Mytilus edulis: one gene and its partner. The protein of the gene in region 2 interacts with the protein of the main gene of each other region in a biochemical or structural test. Links are inferred from orthologs where the notes say so. Each region holds a gene or a part of one and is shown on either strand. Other genes may lie near its edges.

Region 1 (7,361 bases), on a different chromosome or scaffold from region 2:
AAGCAAGACAATCTGAAGAATCAGAGATGTTCCTTAATGTTTAGAATAAAACGGTTGACGTGAGGGCATGGCCCTGAGTCAATGGTAAAAGTCTACAGATTGCTTGAAAGCAATTGTATCCCAAAAATGGATCAAAGACTCAAATAACTGGGTTTTTGCAAATCATTTCTTACACAATGGAGAGAGAAATATATGTATAAAACATTTGCATTGCAAAAAATGGAGTAAGAAATTCTTCCAATAATTTTAGATGAAAAAAAATGCAGAGTTCTAGAATCTTAAAGTTTGAAAATATTCGTCTAACAATGTCATCATCCTACATATAGGTGCTTACCTTTAATATGATTGCAACCTATGTGAACTTAGAAGAAGGTACACTTTTACATTAAATGAATTTCTTATAGGTTTCATTTCAAATATTTGTTGGGAAATATTGAAAGAAACATACCTGTGACTTAAAGTCTCTTTTATACTGTGAAAGTACTTTTGTTTGTGGGGTACCAATTTTCATGGTTTTCATGGATGACTTTATCCTCGAATTTAAGTGTCCAACGAAATAAAACAACCATTGTCCAAATCAAGACATGGAAAGATCCCTATCAGTAGGTTTGACTACTGATATGATTAAGAGAATATATTAATATATTAAATAACGCCAAATCTGTGAATACTTTTATAGCAGTCAGAGAATTACAACAGCATGCAGGATTATACCCATTTTATCTTTAATAACCTAAACTGTACAACTTTTCATCTTTTAATTATCATAAAAATAATTTTGATCGATGAAAGTCAGATTTTCGGCATTGGTATGCTAGTATGATAAGTGTTCATTTTATATCCTCATAGATCTACTCTAGTACATATGGGAAATAATAGTTTCATGCTGAGCTTGATTTTGGTAAGAATTTTTTGACAATTCAAGATACGTTTATAGCACTTGTTTATATTACTGTTTTCTTTAGGTGACATGTTTATGGCCTAATTAACACCTTTGATGGTCTTTAATCTGTTGATCACTTTATCATGGGTTAGTGTTATCACAACGATTTACACGGGTCAATGTTTCCTTTGCAATTTCCTCAATCCAGACTATTTGTAACCTTCATTGCTAATGGCTTTAATTTTTTTTGATTTTTTTTTTCTTTTTTTGGAAAACTGAAATCCACGAATATGTAAATTTTGTTCAAACCACGAAAATTGATACCCACGAATTAAAGTACTTTCACAGTACCTTAAGAGTTAATTTGAAGAGTTCTAGATAAGTTTGAAAGGTAAAGGGTGCTACATGTACCTGAACCAATTTTACCATAAATTATAAACACTTTCAAATACATGTATATATGTATTCAGTCATATTTGAAATTAAATGGCACCATGCTCTGTATTTCTGAAAGAGGATCATAAATAACTCATTTAACAAATGTGTTATGTCAACAAGTCAGGAACTGCATAATACTTTTCTAGTATCTGTTTATCTGAGTTCACCCTAATTTTGGATAGGGCTGATGCGACACAATCCTTATATTTTGGTAGGGTTTTGAGATTTGTGTCTAGTCATGTTTTTTGCATTCAGATTTTTAAGGAGAAATATTTACTGTTCCAGGTTATCTCCAAATAGTTCTTCTCCATCTGCCTCTTCCTCAGCAACTCCAGCATCCATTTCACTCTCATCTTCAAAGGGAGGTAAATCTCGTCCAGGACTGGAAGTAAGTGGGTCCCCACGACTACTCCTTCGCCCTCTAGAACCCCTAGAAGGACTTGTGGCTGTGGAAAATGGATCTGATGATGTTTCTTCCTGAAATATACAAAAATGCATATTAACTTTCCAGATTTTCTCTTGCATGTTACAGTAAAAATTTCCAGATTTTCTCTTGTTTATTACAGTAAAAATCTTTAAAATACTACAATATACAAAAAATAATTTTTAGTCTGAAAACATGTTTCATCACCCCAGTTCCCCCAGTTATCTTAACGTGAAGTAAGTTATTTTAGCGGGGTATTAATTTTCGCTTGTTTTCGCAATAAAAGAAAATCTCCAAAATAATTCTGCCGATTAATAAATGCACATACAAAGGTATTGATTAAAGTTTTAATCCACTAAAATAATAACCGCCAAAATATTTATTATACCTTTTTCAATGAAAATCCTGAAATTTTATACGTGAAAAAAAAACCGATATGGTATCTGGTTGGTTTTAGTTTAAATGTTTGCCTCCAATATTATGGTCAAAACCTCTCAAGTTAACCCCTCTTACCCCGGTTCAAATCCTCACTCATCTATGGTTAAACTCAAGAAACCCTTGAATGACACCAAACCATTCAGATTTTTGTTTAATGCCTCGTCAGGGCCTTAAAATAGCTATACATATAGAGAGAGTTACTTATAGAGTTGTTCTGAATAGCAACTTGAGTTGTTCAAGTGATACCCTTAAAACTTTAAAGTAGGCACTAGCGTTTCAGGTATACTCAGCCCTTACATGTATGATTAAAGTCCTATCGCTTTTTGTTCGCCTTTACTGGACTTCTGATGATCCCAAAGGTTCCTGTAAAATTTTGACTTCATAATACAATAATTTTACATTATATCTGACGCCACAATGGAAAAGTGATTGTTATGTGGCGTCATTAGTTCAAGCGGGACAGATTCTCAAGTCAGCAAGGAATAGATTTAAGGACATTAAGGTGTATTGCCAAGTGGGCCCCTGCCAATATCAAACCCTGAAGAGGTAAGGTAGTAATAGTTTTACACATGTACGAACTTGTATATATCTTGGTTTTAATTCATGTCTACAGATAGCGGAGGCCTATGGTTTGTATGTAATCAGAATAAATTTTGTGGACCCTTTTGAAAAATTTTACGACGAAGGACTCACCGAAGACAAACTTTCACTAAATTTTATACAATGATTATGTTGTTGATGCTTTAAAACTGTGAAATTTCATGAGCACAGTTTAAAACTGCCTTTAAAGATCATGTCTTCAAATGATTATAATTGTCGTAGAATAGATTATATTGCAACAAAACTTACTGCCATTGTTTTCCTTTTTTTCTTCACAATGTGCAACTTAAGCGCGGGAAAGGGTCAATAGGTCACAGAACAGGAAGTTTAAAATGGTAAAGCTTATTACCAACGTCAACGTACGTTTGCAACAATCAAAGATCATACTATTATCGTATTCTTCAAAACCACATACGAATATTTATGAAAATTTAAGAATATGTTATAAACTTTGCATTATTTAACGGAACCAATTGAGTGTTAAAAAGTTTTCCATGTCCCAGATGTAGTGTTTTATCATAAAGATCTTTAAAAATAATATAAAAGGCAGTGTCTGCGCGTACCCGCATGTACGAATAGTCAAATTGCCTTTCTAGGCTGCGCGTACCCACATCTGGTTTTATAATAAAATGCCGTCGGATCGGGAATGAAACGTGAAAAATATACAGAATGTGTTGCAATTAGTAAATAAATTGATTAAAACTGTTCAGAATTTTTATAAATATACACATATATATATATATATAGGTAAGTAAACAGTTTTTTCTCAGTTAGTAAATATTCTTAAAATGTACAGAACTATCAGGCGTTAAATTTCATACAATTGTATAAAAGAAATTCGGAGTCTATAGCAGCCGCAGAGACAAGAAGAACCCCGGATCACAAAAATTAAAGAAGATTTAAAGTACAACAGAATAAATTTTTCCTGCATTCATGGGGGGGGGGGGGGGGGGGGGGGGGGTTGATTCTTGGTGTTTCTTTTAAAAACGTAAGCTTGGTTACAACTAAAAATTAAGATCACTGAAAGAAGGGAAACATGCGACTGGATATGTATAAAGTGTAAAAAAAAAACCTACGGGCACGATCAGGACTCGTTGGCATGTGATTGCTGTTTAGAATGGCAACATTTGAAATGTGCTGGGTTGAAATCTGTGCCAAAACAATCATATTGGATACATAAATGTTTTATATATTTTAATATAAATTTCAGTTTCGGTTTTACATTTTACTAAAAGATTATTTTAAAATATCATATGGGTATATTTTTAAATATTTAAAATTTTATTCTTTAAATTTTCATTTAAATTTTATAATAGTATTAATTTCTATCATGTTTTTCTTTTACAGGGACTGTACAGTTTCATTTTCCATCATTGTGCATTTAATTTTGCAATGTTTATTATGTATCATTATTTAATAAATACAATTTGAAAATATTACTTTTCATACTCTTCACTCGTTCTACGCGAAATCCCCACATTATCGATAATTTCCGTATATATTTCACTTTTCATTCCCGAACCGATGGCATTTCAATAGAAAACCGGATGTGGGTACGCGCAGCCTAGAAACCGGATGTGGGTACGCGCAGCCTAGAACGGCAATTTGACTATTCGTACCCGCATGCGGGTACGCGCAGACACTGCCAATATAAAATGCACGGTGGGACATATTTATGGAATAGATTATTTTAAGTCTTTAAGATACAATACTTGGTACCATAACTATAATTTATGGTGATAACACTGTAAAATCTAGTATAGTGTCTTTCTCCTTTATACACAACTTTTCAATATGTTTTCGTTTTGGTGGAATTTTCAGTCAAGTGTAGAGACATATTATATACTTAACATGTCTCTGGTAGGTTTTGTCATTGGCCGTAGCTCCGGCAAAATAACGATTTGTATAGTTTTGGTATTTTGTCGGTCTTATTTCAGATTTTTAATCAAGACTATATGAAACATTTTTTTTAAGAAACTATTTATGCACAAATGATATATGTGGCCGGCTAGATGATGTCAATAACCTTTTTGTTCACCTCAGTTGCCTTTCTAGTCATTCAATTTTGTGAACTGCACTCTTCAAATTACATGTACATACATTAATTTCTGTTGAAGATTGAAAAAAAAAATGGAAAACAATAAATTTGCTATCAATCAACTTGATTTTTGACTGATAATATGAAGAGCTACAGCCGGTTTTTGGAGTACTTTGAAACGTGAAACGATGACTATATAGAATTTATGAAAACCAAACAAAACTTTAAAAATAATCTTTAGTCTATGGTGCAATAAAATATAAGATTGACAAAAAAAAAATAATGTTCATAGAAATCTAGATATTTATTCTATGAATGTTGAATACTGAAATGTGTATATCTGCAATTTTTGCAAAAGAGATGCAGACATTAAAAAATCAAGTGTTATGTTCAGTTCATGTCTGCAGTGGCAGCACCTTACTGGTGCCAGAATTAAAAGAAATTCACCAAAAAGCAAGGCACTGGTTTTGTAGCGCTCGTACAGCAGTTTGATTTTGTTGGGTGTAAACTTTTGATTCAAAACTAATTGGATAATTTTATTAAAAGTTTTAATCAGAATGTCGATTTTTTAATATGGGTTCGTATGCTTTGCTTGTGTCTATTATATATTTTTTAAAAAGAAATATTTTTTAGGCTTCCTATTTAAGAAAAAAAGTTACTTGTATACATTTTAAAAAATAAGACATGTTTTAGAGACTTCTTATTAAAGTAAAGAATATCAAACGTTTTGTATAAATGTTTAAAGAAGATATAGTTGTATAGAGATTTCTGAGATTTCTTATTAAAGTGTATGTTTCTGTATTCTTTATATTATTACTTTCTATAATTCTATTTTAATCTTAATTGAGACCGGCAAAATTGCAAAACTCTATACAAATCGCTATTTTGCCGGAGCCGGTAAAATAGCCACTGCCCAGAAACTTCTTCCAGTAGAATTTTCGACATTTGTGGTCATAAGTTATCTTTGATATAAGATAGTGTACACACTTAATGTTCCATTTATATGTAAACTATAAATTCGATAATGTCAATTTCCCTAAGATTTAACTTACTGAAGACATTTTAAATCAATAAATACGTCACAAACTCAACAAAACCAGGCACAAGATAAAAAAGATTAAAAAAACCTTGATGTTAGTTGTCAATATTATCTTCAACACACGACAGCTTGTTATACAATATGTTAAGAATAAAACAAAAGACAGCTACTCAGGACAGTTTCAGGATTGTGAATTATGGCGATTTTTTTTTTATTTAGAACTCGAATTCCTTTCTCCCTAATGATACACAGATGCATAAAAGATAAAAACCAATAATTATATACCCCAAAAAATAAGAAATACCGTATCAAATAATACTTGCAGTTAACCGAAAGGAAACACAAAGTACTCATATAAGTTTATGTCATCCTACACTTATATCGTGTGTCCTATCATAAATCAACGTCATGAACAGTATACAGAAGGGCCTTTTCTTGTACAATGTCCAGAATGCATTTGTTCATAATTTTAATGCAAAAAAATATAAAAACATATAAGTTCTGCTTCAAACTACAAATTAGCAAACTATTTAATCTCCCCTTTATACAAGAAATATAATATGCAATGGTTCACAACAGCATAAACCGTACTCATTATAAGTCCAATAGTCAAATGAAAAGATTTACAGAAAATATCTCAAACGTTAAAGCTTTGTAAGTGACAAAAAGATATATGCGAAACAGCATATCTTATCAGATTCCTGCATGCGCTTTACATCTTTATAATTTCATAGTAGCATATACCAATACCTTTGTTTTGTCAGAAGGTAATGTTTTCTCGACTGTAAATGACGTCTTTACACTAAATCCATTTAAAGTTGGACGTGTACTGATTGATAATTGCCTAGTTTTAGACACAACCTAGATACTTAGGTACATGATTTTCTTATTATTTCTTATTTACTGTGAACTAGTTTTCAGATATACTGCGAGTAGTCTCAGATTTATATTTTTTTAGTTTTAGTCTCTTGATTTGTTCTGTGTATCGCTTTTAAGAGTTTTTAGCCCTTCTCAAGTGATCTATATAGTTTGTTCTTACATATTGTGCTGTTACACCACTGTCCCTGGTTATGAGAGGGTTGGCACGTATGCAAACATGTTAACCTTGACACACTATGTATGTGACAGTCCCAATTCCGGAGCCTGTAATTCAGTGGTTTTGTGTTGATGTGTGTTTCTTATATTTGCTTCTCGTTTATTGTTTTGTAGATAAATCCGGCCTTTAGTTTTTGCGTTTGAACTCTTTAACATTTTCCTTTGAAAAACTTTTATAGCTTGCTATGCGAGATTGGTTTTTCTTTGTGGAAGACTACACGGTGACATATAGTTGCTAGCCCTCTACGTTTTTTAGTTTCTTGTGGAGAGTTGTCTCATTGGCATTCATATCACATCTTCTTATCTTTACTTACTTCAACAAGTTAAGTATATATGTCTTTGAATTTTGTTATAAGACAAATTGCAGTTGTATTTCTTAAACAAAATCGGGTAATGTTGTTTATAT
Region 2 (7,834 bases):
CCCCCATAAAAATCAAATGGTAGCTCCCTTAATTAACTCTTGAACTTATCAATTTTATTCTTTTTCATCCCTTCGAAAGGCTAAAACAATAACAAGAACGATTTTGTTTGTGTTACTGTGTTGATATGACAAAATCAGCTAATGCACGATATCACGGGCCGCGCTGACACCGGGGACTCCACTGTATGTGTATATGTCATGTATGTCTCTGGTTTTATGTATTAATTCCCCAATTTTTATTCAGGAAAATACTTTTTTGGGTATATACATTTAACAATGTTTAAAAAATATCTTATAATTTATTCAACTAGAATTTGGATAAAAACTGGGTATGAACGTGTAAGGTGAGAACGTGTGAGGTGCGAAGGTGTATTAGGCGCAGACAGACCTGGAGTCAATTTCATAAAAAAAAAACTTACGACTAAGATTTATCGTAAGTACATGAAGTATACTGATTTGTTCTTGACTTAAGACCAATCTTAGTCATAAGTTTTTTTTGTAGTCAACTCCTGATACCCAGTTGCCTGATAGCGTGAGACCAAACAGTTTTCTGGATTTAACCAGTTCTTGTGTATTCAGGGTACTATATAACTATTATGACTTTATGTATTCACCATTGCCATTGTCTTGTCTTGTAGTAGTTCTGTCCTATATAGGACCAGCTCCAGTAACCGTAGTAGATTATAGATTCACAATTGTTCCATTTCAAATGTTTTTTGTTGTTTTAATAGGAACAGTAATTTACATTGGCATTGGTTATACCTAAATTTGTAGAAGGCATTCAAATAGTTGTTAGTTAAATCTTTTAAATCTTTATAAAATGGAAAAAACAAGGTTTTCATCAAGAAATCTTACCATCTCGAACAGCCAGCATCTGTTCGAAGTATTTTGCACCAAATTCATAGATGTTATCTGGTTGATTTCTCAAAACTTCACGTGCAAGCCCTTCTAAAACATTTTGAAATCCTTTCGGAACGCGAAGTTTTGTGTTTGAAAATGGAACTGCCATGTTTTTCTTGTAAATCTGACTGAACAATCACCAGCAATCTATTGCTCTAGTTGGCAGTGGAGAAATGTGTGTATAGTTTGGCGCCTGTCGTCATAACAATGTACATTCTAAATTTCAACTCAACTCGGACAACACGGAATTAGTTGCTTCAGGTCTGTCTGAAAACCAATAAAATGTTAATTCTAACAAATTTATACGTTTTTTTTGTTATTAATTTCAACAGAGACATATAATACATTGTATTATATGTCTCTGATTTCAAGAACGTAAATGTTAGTCGATGAGGGGGTTTTTAACGACATTGACTACCTATGAGGGTCTTGCGTGGTCGGTCAAAATATGTTACGTCTATTCAACTAAAAAAAGGGGGATTCTAATAAATCAGTGTTAGTGTTTTGATCCCAAATTAAAAGAAGAAATAAAAAATTTTGATCAAACAGATGACAAAAAAATATTTTGAATCTAGATTTTCTCCATTCCTTTTAGTGTTTATGTCGGTTAAATATGGTGAGAAAAAATATTTGATTGATAGAATATGCAAATCTGTTTGCGCTTAGTGCCATACACCACCCCCTTTTATATTGAAGAATAAGAACTCCAAAAGAAATTAAGGACATTCGTTCAGCAACAAAAAGATGATTCTAGACCTATATCAAACACTTAGAAAAGTGAGCGAACAAATGTAACTAAATCATTAATAACAAGTAAAATATCAAAAATCATGACCAAACTGTTCTCCAAGAAAAATTCAAATCATAAATGTTGTAGAAAACAAATAAAAAATCTAAAAACACACAAGGCTGCTGGACCAGACAACATCAAACCAATTGTACTGATAGAACTAACCAGTGAAATAGCCCCGATCTTAAACATCATTTACAATTTTTCGATCATGACTGAGCAATATTAAGACCAATGGAAGTATAAGTGCTGATTTATACAAATTGAATGTTTATGTAAACCAACTTTGTAGACTTTAAACTTCATTGAAAGATCGATTCGATAAGTTGCTGTGCCCCACCTGTATAGATGACAGTCACACTTAACAATAGTGGGAAATAACCCATTTAACGTACACATCCTTACAAGTATGGCATACTGGGATGACTACAGCCAATGCGAAGGATATCTGATCCAACCAGAAAAAAGTGTTATGTTTACCAGTTAAAACCAACTACAAATAACATTAGCGGAAGATACTTGGTAAAAAACCAATGCCTAGTATTGTGACCAAAACATATCACTTCGGTATGCAAAGCGATACTCATGAGTGATTCAACTAGAAGTACTTTTAAGAAGAAAATCTAAAAAAAAAAACCAACAGAAGATCATTACATACATTTAGCTTGTATATAATATGTCTCTTTTGTAATGTATGCAGGATTGCATGGGGAAAATAGTCTAAACCCAGTGACCGCAATATGTATGCTACAAGAATTTATATTTCCGATTATGTTTTATGTCTTAGAAATTTTATTACTAAAAAATCTAAAACCACTGTCAAAACAATATAAGAGAAAAATCAAGCAAATCTTTAATTTCTCTTCCCTTCAATGTAGCTTACCAAGCAATTAACCTAATATCTAGATTACTATCAACCGAAGCAGTCATACAAAAATTACAACAAGACAACTGGGACGTACACATAAAAAGTGAAAGAGATGTTTTAACAAAGCTATATACGAGATGGTATAATACCTCCTTCATGTGTAAGACGAATGATGAAACCGAGAATCACTTCCTGTTGATATGTGAGCTGCTGGTATATATGTAAGGAACTAGATTGATACGAAACCACTCACTAGTCAATCCGTATGTCTAATGCACACAGCTCTCATATCAGAAATTGATACTATAAATCAAAACAGTTGTGTAGACACTTGTACTATTAGCTTAGTTGCATGTGAGACGATGTCAGAAGCTGGAAATCATAAAATCACAAAGAAGTCTATAAATTGTGAAATAACATTCCTTGAAATGAAATTGTCATGATCGCATCTGGGTATTATCCAGTTTCCAATATTTATAATTTTTTTCAAAAGTATATAAATTATCTTCGTTTGATTATAATCCTTGTGATACTGATTTATTAAGAATAGATATTAGAGACATTCTTCTTGACAGACATTCGTTTTCTCGTTTGAATTGTTTTACATTGTCATTTCGTGGCCTTTTATAGCTAACTATGCGGTGTGGGCTTTGCTCATTGTTGAATGCCGTACAGTGACCTATAGTTGTTATATTCTGTGTCATTTTGGTCTCTAGTGGAGAGTTGTCTCATTGGCAATCATACAGTGGCGGATCCATAGCCAGAAATTAGTAGTGGTTTTGCTAATTAATATTCATAATATGTAAATGAGAATTGTACCACGTGATAGTACTTTGAACTGGACTGGCTTGATAGGCTTGATATCATTAAAATCTTTAAAACACGGATATTATAAGTTGCCCGTCAGAGAGTCCTTATTTACAATCACTTTGATATTTCCGTAAAGTTGTCAGGCGGTCAAAATCAAAACAATGAACGCGAATTTAGTGAATTTTTCGTGCTTTCGTGAGTTTATTCTTCTTGAAATAGTGACATTTTAATTTTACGTGGGAACCTAAAGTTCAATGACTACACATACAAGGTTTGGACTTGCTTATTCTTTGGAAATTCAAGTTTCATATTTCACCCCGGCAACCTGTTTTTGTAATGACCTTGTAAGCCAATTTTCAACACGAAGTTTGCAAATTTGACGTTTCAGCCATTTTAGCCTGTATTTTACACTGCAATGTTAAAAGCCTCTCGCTTCGATTTTTAAAATAGCTCAGGAACCTGTAATTTTGCAACAACAGTCATTATGTTTCGTTTAAATTGTGTATATTGTTGTGTATATTCATTTTCTGCCCGGGCAACCTGTCTATCACTTAAATTAAAATTAAAACAGACATTTTTTTCAAAATTCCCTATCATTTTAATGTAATTTCCGTGACCCGTATCCGATTTCTTTAGTATAATATTCAAATAAGCAAAGTGGCGTTGATTTCTGGATATGCCGGACATTTAAAAAAAAAGGGGGGGGGGGTTCCAACCCCGGACCCCCTGGATCCGCCACTGATCATACCACATCTTCTTTATTTTTTATATTCAACAGCTCATAGGGTCATTTACCAAAATCTAAGCAACTTCTAGATTTCTTTTCTTTTGATTTGAGACCCAAATAATACCAATGCAAATATATGATAAAAGAACAAGTCAGTCTTTTCCCGCCATTGAAAAAAATATCTGGAGAAACAGTCACATAACCTATCAATATTTTTAGCTTGTTTTGTTCCTTACTGAGTGAACTAATGATCTTCTCAGGACCAAAACAGGGACTTTCCAGCTATGTTAGTTAAAAAAGTCAATGACTTAAAGTATCAATTTTATATTCTTGATCTTAATAATTTCACATAAGTTCATCCTTAAGTAGCAGTTATTTTTTAAAGACATGCTGAGACTATTATATTATAGTACAGGGACTTTCTATTCTATTAGTATAGAAAGTCCCTGTTTATCAGTATAATAGTCCCAGGGACACGGAAAACTTTTTTTTTATATCTTTCTTGACCCTTCAATTTTTTAAATCAATAAGGTTTCACCAACTTATTTAAGCCCTTACTTGTTTGTTTGTTTGTTTGTTTGTTTAAAAAACTGTCAACATTATAACCCTTCCCTGCACTCTTTTTATGTTTATTATTTTGGTTTTCAGATTACCCTCCTTTAACCGGAAAAGAATCAAAATCCAGAAATGGTTCTAAAATTAGAATCCATATCGGCGGTAAAAACAAAAACAGAAAAATGTGACTTGAGATTTGGTCTGTGTACTCTGATTCTAAGCAATTCTAATATACATCTGACACCTTATGTTTTACTTATGGTAAGATAAAAGTTTACCTGACTTTGTTAATTGAGTGCAGTCATACAGCAAAACACCTTAATATTTCCACACCAATTTATCATCAGATTATGACAGATATAAAACATCATTATGATTCATGGGACACTCATACACCACCTCAATACTAGCCAGTTATTAGATCTTATAAATAAATAAGCTTTATTAAGAGTCGGCATAGTTGTACAAACAAGGACATGCTCTTGTGAGTTTTTAACCTCTTAATTTTCTAATTTGCAAAACAATTTTATGGTTCCATATCAAATATTGATAAACAAATGTACATGTAGATTTAAGGGCATACGATACAGTTACAGGGGAGGTAATGAAGTTGCTGACGTAAATTGTTATTTTCACGACGTCAAACTATGACTTATCGGGAAAAGATTCAGTTTTTGACAGATTTTTATCATTCAAACTTATTTAACTTGAAAACAAGTTTATGAACCCCTCTTTTTTAAAATGCCATTTGGTTTGATTATGCGAGGGGGTTATGTGTGCCAATTTTCATGAAAATGTAAATAGTGCAATTTTTTTAAACTTAAAAAAAATGATGTTTTTTCTTCATTCATGAACATTTGATAAATATGAGTTATTTTCTGAATAAAAAATGTATAAATTTAATTTTAGGGTACTTATAAAATACAGAAATTACAAATTATTTATCTAAAAGCAATTTGTGTTTATCTTTTAAAACAAAAAAGTTTTGTTTTTCTTTGGAAAGGGAAAATACGACCACAAATCCGAATTTTGAGCAAATATCAGTGATTTTGCTAGCGCTCGTCACTTTCGTATTTTACGAAAAGGTTTTCGAAATGACGAAAATATTTCATATCAATTTCGTCACTTAAATTTGGAAAGTGTAAAAATATTTACACATCAAATTACTTGAATTCTACCTGTCTTTATGTTTCTGACAAGTTTATGACCCTCAGGTAATTAACGTTTACCAAAGGTGTTAAAAGTTGTGATGACAAGTAATCCGCCTATCGCCAATCAGATGGGTCACTAATCCCTTAATTATCATTATAAAACCTCATAAATGACCATCATAATAATGTATTTCAGTTAAATCAGTCAGTCAGCATTTCATTTTAATCATTTCTCACAGTTCAGTCGTATTTTCGTCATTTGAACATCCCGGACATTTCAACTTTATTTTTATTTCAATATTTTCCTTACGATCATAATTTGCAGTTTGCTTGTCGTAGTTTCGTCATTTCAACGTATTTTCGTCATACTTTATATAAATATTCATCAAAAACTTTCGACAACTTCGATTAAAAAGAATGAACTTTATTCAAAACGTAAATATTTTCACTTGCAAACAGGTGCTTCCTGTTCTATGCATTGCGCATGTGTAAAAGTTCGTAGATGAATCCGGTTTTATTCTGAAATTATTATTCAATTGTCACTTCCCGTTTTCATTTCATTTCGTTTAAAAATCGAAAGTAAACGTGCTCTACAGTCTACAGTCATTAGAATCGTCACATTAAGTTTAGATGCAGATCCTTCTATCCAATAATAAAGAAATTGATTCCAAATAGATATTAAAACGTATTTTCAAGGATATAATTGATTGTGAAGTGAAAAGTCGTTAGAAGTTCATTTGTGCAGTGGTTAAAAAATAGAGGCACCCAACTTTTGTTGATTCTTGTAAGGGGTGTGCCCTGAAAATAACTGAATTGAAGTTTTGACCATATTACCAGATCCCTGTTCTTATCTTCATATCTTAGCATCACATTAGTCAATTCATTCAATATTGCCAATAACTGCCTACATTAGCAATCCTAAAGTCTTCAAAGATCCTAGACTAGTCCTTGAAGGACTTGGACATATATGTATAGCTAGTTTGATAAACATCCTAGATCCCTTGCTTTATAAAAAAATAAGGCTGATTTTTCACGCGCAAAAGTGACTAAAGCCCTCAAAATCCTAGCTGAAACCCTGCAAATATATACAAAATTTCGACCTCATTTTACTCAACCTGATTTTTAGTGCCATGCCCATAGTGGTCAGTACTGGAAAGGACTGTCAGGTTTTCAGAAAACTAGTGACTTAAGACGTACACTCTGTCATGTTTCTAGCATGTCTAGTATGAGTTTCTTACAAAGTATTTTCAAAATGATATCTTTTATCACATGTATGTAACACAACAAATAACATTTTACTTTGTAGACAGATACATGTAATGTCATGATCCAATGACAGAAGTAACAGCATTTGTAGAAGGTTGGGACTTTGTCCAGACACTCGGAGAGGGAGCATATGGAGAGTATGTACAGAACTTAACAATTGTAGAACATGTAGACACTTACCATGTTTACAGCAATGCAATACTATCTTTTAAAATAAAAATCCACAGAACAATGCACACAAAAATTGATAATATAAAAAAGAAGATGTGGTATGATTGCCAATGAGACAACTATCCACAAAAGACCAAAATGACACAGACATTAACAACTATAGGTCACCGTACGGCCTTCAACAATGAGCAAAGCCCATACCGCATAGTCAGCTATAAAAGGCCCCAATAAGACAATGTAAAACAATTCAAACAAGAAAACTAACGGCCTTATTTATGTAAAAAAATGAAACCCATTTTTCTATTGTAATTTGTATGCATATTTATCTCAAAGATTGGGTACTGATCAATCAGACTTTTTGTTATATCAATTTGTGACTCTCTTATAACTCTTTAACTTATAGTTATTTTGTGTCAACATAGTATACATGCAGTTGTAATTTCAGAGTTAAACTTGCAGTAAATACTGATACCCAGGAAGCTGTAGCTGTTAAAATTATAAACCTAGAGAAAACAGCATCTGCAGCAGAAAATGTCAGGAAAGAGGTGATAATACTTAGATAATATATTGTTTTAGAATATCAATTAGTAAATTGG

The links. The genes of interacting proteins can lie anywhere in the genome.
Region 1: the proteins of serine/threonine-protein kinase Chk1-like (region 2) and DNA replication licensing factor mcm2-like form a complex in vitro, tested with the Homo sapiens proteins (2 studies listed by BioGRID, with this or other methods). The link is inferred for Mytilus edulis from reciprocal best matches to the Homo sapiens genes CHEK1 and MCM2.

Annotation. Positions count from the first base shown.
Region 1 is NC_092344.1:14,624,614-14,631,974, reverse strand, and holds the start of DNA replication licensing factor mcm2-like, read right to left. Parts: upstream 3,147-7,361; 5' UTR 3,039-3,146; coding exon 3,033-3,038; intron 1,799-3,032; coding exon 1,599-1,798; intron 1-1,598. UniProt on the Homo sapiens protein: Acts as a component of the MCM2-7 complex (MCM complex) which is the replicative helicase essential for 'once per cell cycle' DNA replication initiation and elongation in eukaryotic cells.
Region 2 is NC_092348.1:28,491,777-28,499,610, reverse strand, and holds the start of serine/threonine-protein kinase Chk1-like, read left to right. Parts: upstream 1-4,754; 5' UTR 4,755-4,911; intron 4,912-7,107; 5' UTR 7,108-7,133; coding exon 7,134-7,204; intron 7,205-7,683; coding exon 7,684-7,783; intron 7,784-7,834. Other genes in the region: triadin-like, read right to left, coding at 856-1,009. UniProt on the Homo sapiens protein: Serine/threonine-protein kinase which is required for checkpoint-mediated cell cycle arrest and activation of DNA repair in response to the presence of DNA damage or unreplicated DNA.